2 linked regions of the Arabidopsis thaliana genome follow. The protein of the gene in region 2 interacts with the protein of the main gene of each other region in a pairwise test. Each region holds a gene or a part of one and is shown on either strand. Other genes may lie near its edges. The genes, in order: CNGC17 and MEKK3.

Evidence for each region.
Region 1: the proteins of MEKK3 (region 2) and CNGC17 interact in a protein complementation assay, tested with the Arabidopsis thaliana proteins (one large-scale study listed by BioGRID).

Annotation. Positions count from the first base shown.
Region 1 is NC_003075.7:14,853,968-14,859,658, forward strand, and holds CNGC17 (cyclic nucleotide-gated channel 17), read right to left. Parts: upstream 4,053-5,691; 5' UTR 3,813-4,052; coding exon 3,784-3,812; intron 3,573-3,783; coding exon 2,816-3,572; intron 2,732-2,815; coding exon 2,433-2,731; intron 2,329-2,432; coding exon 2,217-2,328; intron 2,134-2,216; coding exon 1,897-2,133; intron 1,822-1,896; coding exon 1,093-1,821; 3' UTR 727-1,092; downstream 1-726. Other genes in the region: AT4G30370 (RING/U-box superfamily protein), read right to left, coding at 4,776-5,306. UniProt on the Arabidopsis thaliana protein: Probable cyclic nucleotide-gated ion channel. Forms a functional cation-translocating unit with AHAs that is activated by PSKR1/BAK1 and possibly other BAK1/RLK complexes. Required for PSK-induced protoplast expansion.
Region 2 is NC_003075.7:5,383,312-5,389,051, forward strand, and holds MEKK3 (MAPK/ERK kinase kinase 3), read right to left. Parts: upstream 3,950-5,740; 5' UTR 3,728-3,949; coding exon 3,261-3,727; intron 3,153-3,260; coding exon 2,898-3,152; intron 2,535-2,897; coding exon 2,289-2,534; intron 2,191-2,288; coding exon 2,106-2,190; intron 1,969-2,105; coding exon 1,906-1,968; intron 1,830-1,905; coding exon 1,672-1,829; intron 1,582-1,671; coding exon 1,509-1,581; intron 1,408-1,508; coding exon 1,348-1,407; coding exon of another isoform or gene 1,306-1,347; exon of another isoform or gene 1,111-1,305; coding exon 997-1,110; intron 881-996; coding exon 719-880; 3' UTR 541-718; downstream 1-540. Other genes in the region: MAPKKK9 (mitogen-activated protein kinase kinase kinase 9), read right to left, coding at 4,942-5,148, 5,263-5,376, 5,710-5,740.

The sequences.
Region 1 (5,691 bases), 9.5 Mb from region 2:
GATAATGATTTACGAATATAAGTATGTATTAAATTATGTTATAACTAAAAGGGGTCGCGGATCTCAACCTTACATGATTGAAACCTAATGTTGAATTTGAGCTTTTTGGAAAGGGGACATGAACTTAACTTCTCTAGTGAGCAACTACACACTATAAGGTACAACTACTATGTCATCTCTTAATATATGCATGCATGTTTAAAAATTTCACATATTAATAAACGATTCAAAATATTAATATATGTTACTATAATTATGATTGTTGAAAACCATTGTTTTCATGATTCAGTTTCCGTTCAATCTAACTTCTTGTGCCATACTATATTGTTATTGTCATTCAAGACCATAAAATTTATTTGTATATTATATGGGACAAGAAATTTTCAGAAACTTTTCAATATGTTAGTTTAAAATATTTACAACTTTTTAAATCGACTAAGAATCCATGATTACATTGAGCTGGTCTTGTGGCCATATTGCAAAAAGAAAAATCCCAAATATGTATGTAATCCTGTAATGTAGATTATGATTTGATCCGACATATCTAGGTCAGTAGAGAAAGCAAGTAAACATTTTAACTTTTTCCCATGGACCAAAGTCCAAACTCATCATTAGTATGATCTTATGTCTATTGATTAAGTGAGTCTACCTTTCTTTAAAAAGAAGCTTGTGTCGATAGCAATATGCAACATGCTCAAGAAAATATATTTTTTCTTTCTTTACCATCTTATTCTCAACGTTACAGTAAGTCAGTAACCACGGCATATAGGGGCTTTGACGAATGGGCTTAGACATCTTTTTACTTCCTTGTTGGTTCAATCAATTTTGCAAGGTTTGATGTGATTTGTACATAATCCACTTCAACTTCCTCATCTTTACATTTAGAGAATTTAGAAACGAGTTCTTTAATAGTACAACAAAACTAATTCTCCAAGCTTATATTACAAAAGATGTTTAAGTGTACAAACCAAAACCCGCCTTGAGTTTCTTTCTTTATGTCTCCCAAAGGAACAGGAAACTTACTCTGTAGTGTTCTTGTCATTAAGATCTTCTATGGAACAAAGTCAGCTTCTTCTCCTGGTTATACATCAGTCAATCATCATGCTCAGCAGAGAAATCAGGCTCCTCGGGTTTCTTAAACCGGGGTAATTCTACATCCTTAACTCTCTGAGCTGCAACACCGCGTCTTGTATTAGCTGCAAAACGCGATGCCAAAACCATAACTCCAAGGTTCATCTTTGTTCTAGGACTCTCCTCAACACACTCTTCTTCTTCTACTACTACTAATTCTTCTCCTACTTCTCCTTCTTCATTTTCCATTGATTCAATCGCAGTGAGGTTATTCTCCATAACTCTTCTCTTGTACCTGCGCCAAGCCGCTTGTATGAAGCAAGCAGCCCAAGTTCTCCAATGGTGAGAGTAGAATCTGAATGTATGTTGAAGCTTCTTGCTGTGTAACCGCCTAAACTGATTTGCAACAAATTTCAAATCTTCAGCTCGAAGAGCGAATGCTTCGACTTCAACTAAAGCCCTAACTGTTCTTGTAGAAGATGGTAAATTCAAGGTTGATTTTGGAAGCAAAGCCCAAGAAAGAAGCTCTTCCCCACAGAAATCTCCAGGTCTAAGTATAATCGAGTTGAAGAAACCGGTTCTGCCTCCATTGGTTGTGGAACTCTCGAGTCTACCTCTGATGATGAAGAGCATCTCTGAGATCAAGTCACCTTCACGTACAAGGTAAGTCCCTTCAGTACACAGAGAAGAAACCAGGCGCTCACATATCGCATCAAGCAGCTGATCATCCATTTGAGAGAAAAATGGGACCTGCATGATTCAAGATAGTAGTTAACCTAAAAGTTGAACCATTTGTAGGATAAACAAATCAATAGAAAAACTTACTCTTCGAACAAGATCTAAACATAGGTGACGTTGAATATCACGGCGAAGATCAGTGGGTAAACTTTGCAGGAGAACCTCTTCATCGACTCCTCTTGTTGCAAGCCACTTATACTGCTCATATCGCCTCACACGGTTTCTCAACTCTTCAGGAAGTTGACGATGTCTCATCCACTCCTCAGTGTCTCTCTTCTTCAATCTCCATTCCTCAAGCCGTACAGTCAAAGATTGCAGATATGTCTAACAAACAAAAGGCAAAACCCAAGAAACATAAGAACAAAAGCAGATACTTTTAGAACTTATCCTAACGCAGGAATCCATACCTGCATATTCCCAATGAGATGGGCAAAGAGGACAAGACCAAAGATTGCAATGAGAACAGCAAATGTGGTTTCGCCCATGAACATGGTCGTGGACAAATTCTGTCCATAAGAACTAGAATATGACAATAACAGGAAAATGTCATCAGATTCTAAAACTTGTAATCAAAAGGAGAGTAATAATTGGTATCAAAAAATTTCTATGATCTCTGCCATTACCTAAGCTGCTGCAATCCCCACCACAAACAGTAGAAATATCTCTCGAAGAACTGTGAAGACACAACGTTTTTCGTGATTGCATTCCCAAAGATCCCATACTTGAACTCGCCATTCCGTGCATCACAGAGTTTAAACACTTTTGTGACATTTGCCCAAGTCATCTGATTATTGTCATACATTGAATCACAGTCTAAGTAATATAGCTGACAATTAACTTGGCCAGCTTCACCATTGCATCTTGATTTCCAGCACGATGTATATCTATCAACCGATAATATATACCAGGCTGCACCAAGCACCTGTCCCAACAAAAACATTGTAGCTTTGATTATCATCACATTTAAGGAATGAAATAATGGAAGAAGAAGGAATGGGATTCATACATGACTAGCCAGCATGTATAGCAAAAGATTATAAGCAGCTCCAGCCCAAGCAGTCTTTGTAACAACTCCAGTTGCTTTAACAATTTGAGAACTTAACGGAATTATCAAATAGAATCTTGGGATGTATTGGAGGAGCACAATCAAAGCAATAGCATTGTTGTTATGATCAAACCGGTAACTTTTTGTAGTCGATATAACAAACCAGATAACTATCTGTGGAAGTGGTAACGTCGCAATGAGATCGATGATGAAGTCAGATTTAATATACCTCCAAGCAATAGCCTTAGGATCCATCACAAGCTCACCTCTACCAAACACTCTAGTACTTGAATTAGGCGCAATGAAACCAGTCCTAAACTTAATGAAAATGTGCAGCAAGTAGAAAAGATCCGCTATTGTCCTGAAGAAAGTAACAAGGATGCTTAAACTTGTATCAGTCCTTGCACAAGGATAGTTTTTATCTCCTCCTATAGCTGGGACAAAGAAGTACAACGGGTCGATGAAGAGAGCAACCATACATGAGACAATGAAGACCCAATTCCATTTCAAGACAATCTCACTTCCTGGATCAAGAATAGTCTTGTACCATGAGACTTTAGAAGATTTGGACTTAGAAGCATCAGTGTATCTAAGTCTATTTCCAGGTAAGAGATTATCAGGTCTTAGTGCTGAAGGTAAAGAGAGCTTATAAGATTTGCTCATTGGATCATTCACTGCCCATTTAGCTTCTTTGCTTTCTTTCCCCTCTGAGTAAAACCTACAAAGCAATACACAACTCAAATCTGTAATCTGAAACCTAACTAGAGATTTAAGTTAAACCCAGTACCCAAAATCGGAGCTTGAGCTTGTAACATCTAAAGAAGAGATAAATCTAAAGCAAAGTCTAGAATTTTTAATTTCTGGGCAATCAAAGTTGAAGACTTTCAGGAACGTAAGTCTAACCGACGGATGAGAGAAAGAAAACTTACATAAGAAGCTTGTCCTTCCTTAACTCCATTAGAAGAAGCTCAAGCTCAAGCTCGAGTAAACAAATCTATGCAAATTAGAATTAACAGAAGCTTTTAAAAATCATTTCTTTGATTCGTGTCTCTGACACTCTCTCACTCTTACTCTCTCTAAATCTGAGAAAGATCGTGTTTTTGTTTAGTTCTTCCGGAGAGGATTGGAAGAGGAGAATCACTGAGTCACGGGACGAGTCAGAAATCGGAGGGATATTTGTTTTTTTTTCTTGGGAATACTTGAGCCATCGGTATAAGACAAGAAAGTCAACACATTTGACTAAAGTGACATTATTTCGTTAATCAAAGTCATTATTAGTTTACAATACAAAACACTAATTAGACAATGTTACTTGTTACTTCACAAAAACACTTCTTTAGTCTTATAGTCAGATCCAATCACAATCACTTTCTCCGTGTGAGTCACAATCTCACATTCCAATCAGAAAACGATTCTTTAGCCTCCTTTATTTTTATGTTCAATATAAACTTTTGAATCACACACTTGAAAACATAGTTGACATAACTTTGGAGGTGAAGTAGGTAAATTAAAATCACATGAACCAAGCTTTACTTAGAACTTATACTTCATCATGGACAAATTGAAACAGAAACATTGATGATTAACCACTGAATCTCAAGTGAAATTATGAGAAATCATTAAGGTAACATAAGCAACATGTTTAAAGTGACAAATGGACAACATTTCTATCAGTAATTGACTAGATTGAATTTAATAATTGGCATGATAATCAAACCTCAAACTAAGTTAAATTCTACAGAAACCCATCATTCTCTTATTGGATCAAATTCATCAAACGGTGAAGAAACAAGCTTTCAATTGTGAAGCCGTGTAAAAAAAAAAAAAAGACACTGTACATGACTATTGATGAAAACCAAAATTGCTGCTAAATATGATAACAAACTAAACACACTTTCAAATCTAATTATAAAACCACCGATCAAAAAATTTCACCTTGTGGTCTCCATCTTCTTCCTTCTTCAAATCTATAAACCCTATCCCTACAAATCGGACAAGTCGAGACTTTAATCAACCACAAGTCCACACACTTTCGGTGAAACACATGTCCACATCGAGGCAGCTTCCGACACCACTGTCCTTGTCTAAATCCATCGATACAAACAACACAATCATCGCCTCCGTACTCTGAACTAGGCTCACAATACTTGAATTGAGGAAGCCTCTTCACGCATCTTGGAGATAACCCATCTGAGTATTCGTGACGGCGATGGCGGCGGAGACGGTGGCGATAGTTTCGTTGAAGAAACCAGTAGAAAGCGAAGAAGAAGGTGAAACCGAGAGACGTGAGGATAAAGATAAAAGCGGTTATAGCTACAGGGATCATGATTAGACCTATGAGGAAGTTAGAGAGAATCTTCGTCGGTAGATTCTTCGTGTTCGCTTTTGGCGGCGGTGGAGACGGTGATGGCTCGCGGGAGATTGAGCCATCGTAGGGAATCGTTATCGACATCGACTTGCGGCGGAGATTAAAAATATTCTCTTTTACGAATCAAACTCTAATACTCTGTTTTAGGGCTAAATAAAGGAGAGATTTTTATGGATTTTGAAGATCGAAAATTTATCGGATTCAAAGTATATTGTACAAAAGAGTTTGTCTGATAGATATTTATATGCGGGAATATTCGGACATCTTTTTTATATCAGTTTTTGACGATAACTTTTTAACTAGTTTTGGCCCTTATGAGAGGAACTCGTGAGCAAAGTCTTTTTTTTTATATACCAAATTTTTCATTAAATTGATTAAATTTAACTAGAAAGAAGAAGATTAAGCGTATATAAACACAAATACACAGACACGTTTTAAAACAATGGGGTTCTGATAAATTATGTTACTA
Region 2 (5,740 bases):
GTAGAGTTGAAAAAGGGCATCATGAAAAGGGCATTAGAAAGAATTTTTCTTCATTACAACCGTAAACCGAAAAGATAGAAATGTAGTTAAAAAAAATTTGACTATCAAAAAAGAATCACGAAATATATTTAAACGAAAATATGCTATTAAAAGACAAAATCGTAAATATTTTAATAAAAAATTGCGATAAAAAGATGTAACTATTCATATGCGAAAAGAAACGACTGTAATTGAACAAAAAAACAGTAAAAAAATAACCATAATTATTTTAGCGAAAAGTTACGATAAAAAGATGTAGCTGTTTACAGTGCAAAAAGCATATATTCAGATTGTTAGTATTATTAGATAACGGTAATTAAATTACTATTTTTCGATTGACGTTAGAGAAGGTTTTTCTTCATTCTTACATTTGTTTCCAAAATGACGGATCTTTGGAAACGGTCCAAGTGATCCTCGTACTACTACAATGTAGATTTTGGAAAGGAACTATCTACATGTGTGTACTATTATCTATTATGGTCATACGTACATCTGTACGGTGTACGGAGTCGAAAACCTTTCGAATAAGTTTTATAAATCCATCATTGCGATAACTCTTCAACGGGAAACAAGTTGAATTATATAGACACTTCACACTTCAATTAACTTGGCTTTGACCAGAATCAAAGAAATGGTTTTCGCCATACTATTGCATAGTTTGATTGTTTCAGCGTAAGAATCAAAGATTTATAACAAATGGATGGTGCAGCAGTTCAGCTGCAGTTGGCCGCTCTTCCGGGTTCACTTTGAGACACGTAAGTATGAAATGCCGAGCGTCTAGTGATAAAGTATCAGGTACGTCTGGAAGCGTACCCCTTCCAATCTTAAACGCGGCTTGAATCTGCGCGTTTTCACAAATTCTGACCTTTAACTCATAAAATCCCATAAAGTAGACACTTCAAATGTCGTTTAAGATTACTAAGACAGTTCAAAAGTTTGAAAATCTTGAAGACTTACGGGTTTTAGATCGGAGTAGGGGATCTGACCAGTACACATTTCCAGCACAGTGCACCCAAGGCTCCATATATCAGCTGGACTTCCATTGCCATCACTATCCTTTCGGTTAATAACCTGATCAAATGGTTATGTTCTATTTAGAAATAACCATACAAGTATAGCCTCGAGTATAAACATACTAACAGTTACCAACTCACCATAAACAAAAATTTAACCAAATACCTTGAAGGAAACATAATCGGGTTTTTTTAAGGTTATCAATGCCGAGAACATTGCTATTGATGTATGATATGTTGTCTATCATTGTATTCACACAATCCAAAACAATGAGAAGGATCCCAACACAATTACCTCCGGAGCCATCCAAAATAATGTTCCCTTGCAAGACATAATGTCGTTGAACTTTGACGCCTATATAACAAAATGACACAGGTACCATGTCAGTGGGATAAGCGATGTACCATATTATTAATTAGTAATAAAACTACAAACATCTATTAATGGAAAAGAACCTCTGCCAATCCAAAATCTGCAAGTTTGACGGTGCCATTAGCGTCCACCAACATATTTGCACATTTAATGTCCCTTTGTCGCATCAGATGAGAAAAGTAAGTAACACATGAAAGAAATCAGATTTTTAAGAAATACTATGACAAGAGAGTTTACTAGTCAAACCTGTGAACAAAGCCTTTATCGTGGAGATAATTCAACCCAGCAAGAATTTGTCTTGTATACAAGGAGACTACTGTGTAGCTAAGTTGGTATCTTTCGTAGAGTTTTTGAACGGATCCTTGGGTTACAAGCTCAAGAAAGATGTACAATTTTGACACGTCCTGTAAACAGTGAAAGGAGTTACCAATTGCACAACAAAATGCAACTGAGAACAAGAAAGAGAGAACAAGACTACACCTTGGCTGTGCCACGATATCGCACAATATTCTGATGCTGAAGCTGACTAAGTAGTGCAATCTCCTGTAGAAAAATAAAAAATGAAAAATGTGGCAAATGTAAGGTCGATTAGCAACCTACTTTTGACCGATCAATGCAATAATGCTACAATGAAAGAAGTGATAAATGCTACGGATAACTGATGTATATGACTTTCATACCCCCTCAAGTTGTTGAATGCATTCTTGTGCCTGAATTCCCTTATCAAGAAGTGAAACTTCCTTGACAGCAAAGAAGTCCCCATCTCTACATTTAACATAAACCACCAGCCAAAAAAGCATATGTTGGCTCAACCAAGTATCTTACTTTAAGGTCAACAAACGTAAGCAACCAGTAAGACTTACTCTGAAATGGCTTCATACACAGAGGCATATGATCCTCGTCCTAGAAGTTGACCCTTCAGCCAAGACGTGATATCCTCAGGCTTACGAAAATTCTCAATCAACTTGTTACGCATCAATTTACGCTTTTCCTTAACACGTCCACTAGGACCTTCTTCGCTGAAATCCCTTTTTCGGAAACTGATGCGATCCGGGAACTCCATAGAAGGCGTCATCAAGGAACAAGTCGACTCGGAACCAACAGAGGAACTAGAAAAAGACATGATATAATGACGCTGAAGCTGACTAAGTAATGCAATCTCCCATAAAAAATGAAAGAGAAGACAATGAGATAATGCCACAATGGTAATGCAACCATAAAAGTCGCTTTGCACCGTATTTTTCAACTCATTAAACATCTTATTGTAAATAGGCATGTTGTTCTTTTCTTCCCAACTAAAGAGTGTATAATTTGATCTAAAGGATAACATAAACATCCATCAAAAAGCATCAACAAAACACACAAAGAAAAACTCTCGCACTGCATCACATTTCCCAATTTAAAGTTTATTTTCCTATAAACTAAGTATCTAATTTTAAGTTCAACAAACATAAGCAACCAGTAAGACTTACTCTGAAATGGCTTCATACACAGAGGCAAATGATTCTTCTCCTAGAAGTTGACCCTTCAGCCAAGATGTGACTGGTTCAATGTCCTCCGGATTGCAAAAATTTTCAATCAACTTGGCACGCGTCAATTTACGCTTTTCCCAAACGTGTCGACTAGGACCTTTTTCACTGAAATCCTTTTTCCGGAAACTGATGCGATCCGGGAACTCCAGAGAAGGCGTCATCAAGGAACAAGTCGACTCGGAACCAACGGAGGAACTAGAAGAAGACATGATATTATGATGCTGAAGCTGACTAAGTAGTGCAATCTCCCATAGAAAATAAAAGATATAGCAATGAGATAATGCTACAGATATTAGCACTTACCCTGAACTGCCTTCATACACAAAACCTAATGATACTCGTCCCAGAAATTTCCTCTTCAGCCAAGAAGGGACGATAGAACCTCTAGAGGCATAACTCGGCGAAATAATGGATACTGTACTGGAGGAGTCAGCCTCGTTTGTAGCGAATGGGCATGCCTCATGAGCCGTATCCCCCAACTGGACAAACATACCTCGCGTCTCTTCCGTTTCAACTTCCTCTTTATCAGAGGTATTATCAGAAGAGGAGGAACTCTGCCGCTTAACTGTTTTACTTGGAGCAAAATACGTAAGGAAATCCCACGATGATCCTGGAAAGTCAATAAGAGGTAGTTTTCTTCCCGGAGGGGGCTGAATTATTGGTGGTCTTACCGCTTTAATACCACCATCAACATCCACAACATCATTAGGGATAAGATACTCTCTGGATTGCACCAAAATATCACCGGCGAAGATAGCAGTTACGTCCATTGTAGTCTGTAGACGACGTCAAAGAGATAGAGAGAATAAATACACAAGTGGAAATATCCAAACAACTGGCAGTAACACTGCACCTGTTAGAGAAAAAGGAAGAAGCAAACAAAAGAAGTTGACGACGACTTATGACAAGAGTTGAATTTTCAATCTAGTAATAGTATCTGAATAATAATTGAATACTGAATTTTAAAAATTGTTGCAGATTCTTGTATTATTTTTGTGGGAGACTTGGTTAAGTCCACAGATAAAATATTTAGCATCAATTTAGGATTTTTCTCCGTGTCTTCATCACTTGATTAAAAATTCATAGGTATACAAAGAAATCTAAAAGCATTTCTTAAAGGAACTTTGCCCTTAAAGAAACTCATCGATGGCAAAAAAGTTTTCAACGGGGCAAATATTGTAAGAAACAAGTTGAATCATATATACACTTCAATGAGAGTGGCTTTCACCAAAATTTCAAAGAAAATGTTGGTTTGACCATACTTTTTTAATTGAAACAGCAGATTTCTTCAGCGTAAAATAATTAAGAGATGAATATAGGTTATGTTTTTGCACCCAAAAGAAAAGTTTAGTTTTGTTAAATTATAGTGTATGTATGCATGTATAATTCAGATATATATATAAGAAAAATTGGAGATTAAATCCATCGAGACATGAGATGTGTAAACAGTTGCAACAAGCAGGAACTATATAAGAGCCAACTATAATTACACATTACATGATATGGGTTACATGCATACACTATATAATTTATCAAAACCAAACAAGCCTATACACCCGAAACTCTAAATCAACTAAGGTTCTTCTTATACATTACATGATACTATAATTTAACAAAACTAAACAAACCTATGCACCCAAAACTCTAATTTAACCAAGGCTCTTCAGTTTTAAATATAAGCTCAACACACACAAGTGACACAACTTACAACAACCAACCAATGAATGAGACAGAAACTACCTGAAGATATGTCTCGAGAAAGTTTAGCTCTTGCTGCGCAACCAAAACAGCATATGTATCAAAGAATCATATCTCGTGTCTCCCCTAAAGTTTCTATGGGGTCTAATATCTCATAAACCTTCTGGTTACCCCTGCTCTCATACATTAAGATATCAATGTTAGAATATAGCGTTTGATCCTAATATATTCTCAATAAAACGAAACTAGAGGCTTCACCTATGGAGGCAATCTAATAAAATTAGATTCATCTACGGATTAGCGGAGATGTTGATCCTGAGCCTGAGGATGGTAAGGGCCTTCTCACAAATGGATGGTTCAGTAGCTCAGTTGCAGTTGGACGCTCTTCCGGGTTCAATTTGAGACACTTAAGTATGAAATGCCGAGCGTCTAGTGATAAAGTATCAGGTACTTCCGGAAGCGTACCCCTTCTGATCCTAAACAGGGCTTCAACCTGCGCGTTTGCACAAATTCTGACCTTTAACTCATAAAATCCCATTAAGTAGACCCTTCAATGTCGTTTAAGATTATAAGACAGTTCAAAAGTTTGAAAATCCTGAAGACTTACGGGTTCTAGATCAGAGTATGGGATCTGACCAGTACACATTTCCAGCACAGTGCACCCGAGGCTCCATATATCAGCTGGACTTCTGTAACCATCATTATCCTTCCGGTTAATAACCTGATCAAATTATTATGTTCCATTTAGGAAAAACTGTAACATATAACCTGATCAAGTATAGCCTAAACTACAATGAAAGTGGAAGGAATTCAAATATATCTGTTACGTATAATTACACAAACATACTTACAGTTATAAACAGAAATAAAGGAAATTTAATCAAACTATGAAGGAAACATAATCGGGGGTTTTTGAGGCTATCAAGCCCATATCACAACGGTTGCAACAACATATATAAGCAACAGTATAACATCCATCATTGCTATTGATATATGATATGTTTGTCATTGTATTCACAACAATCAAAACAGGAGGAAGGATCCCGAAGTATACCTCTGGAGCCATCCAAAATAGAGTTTCCTTG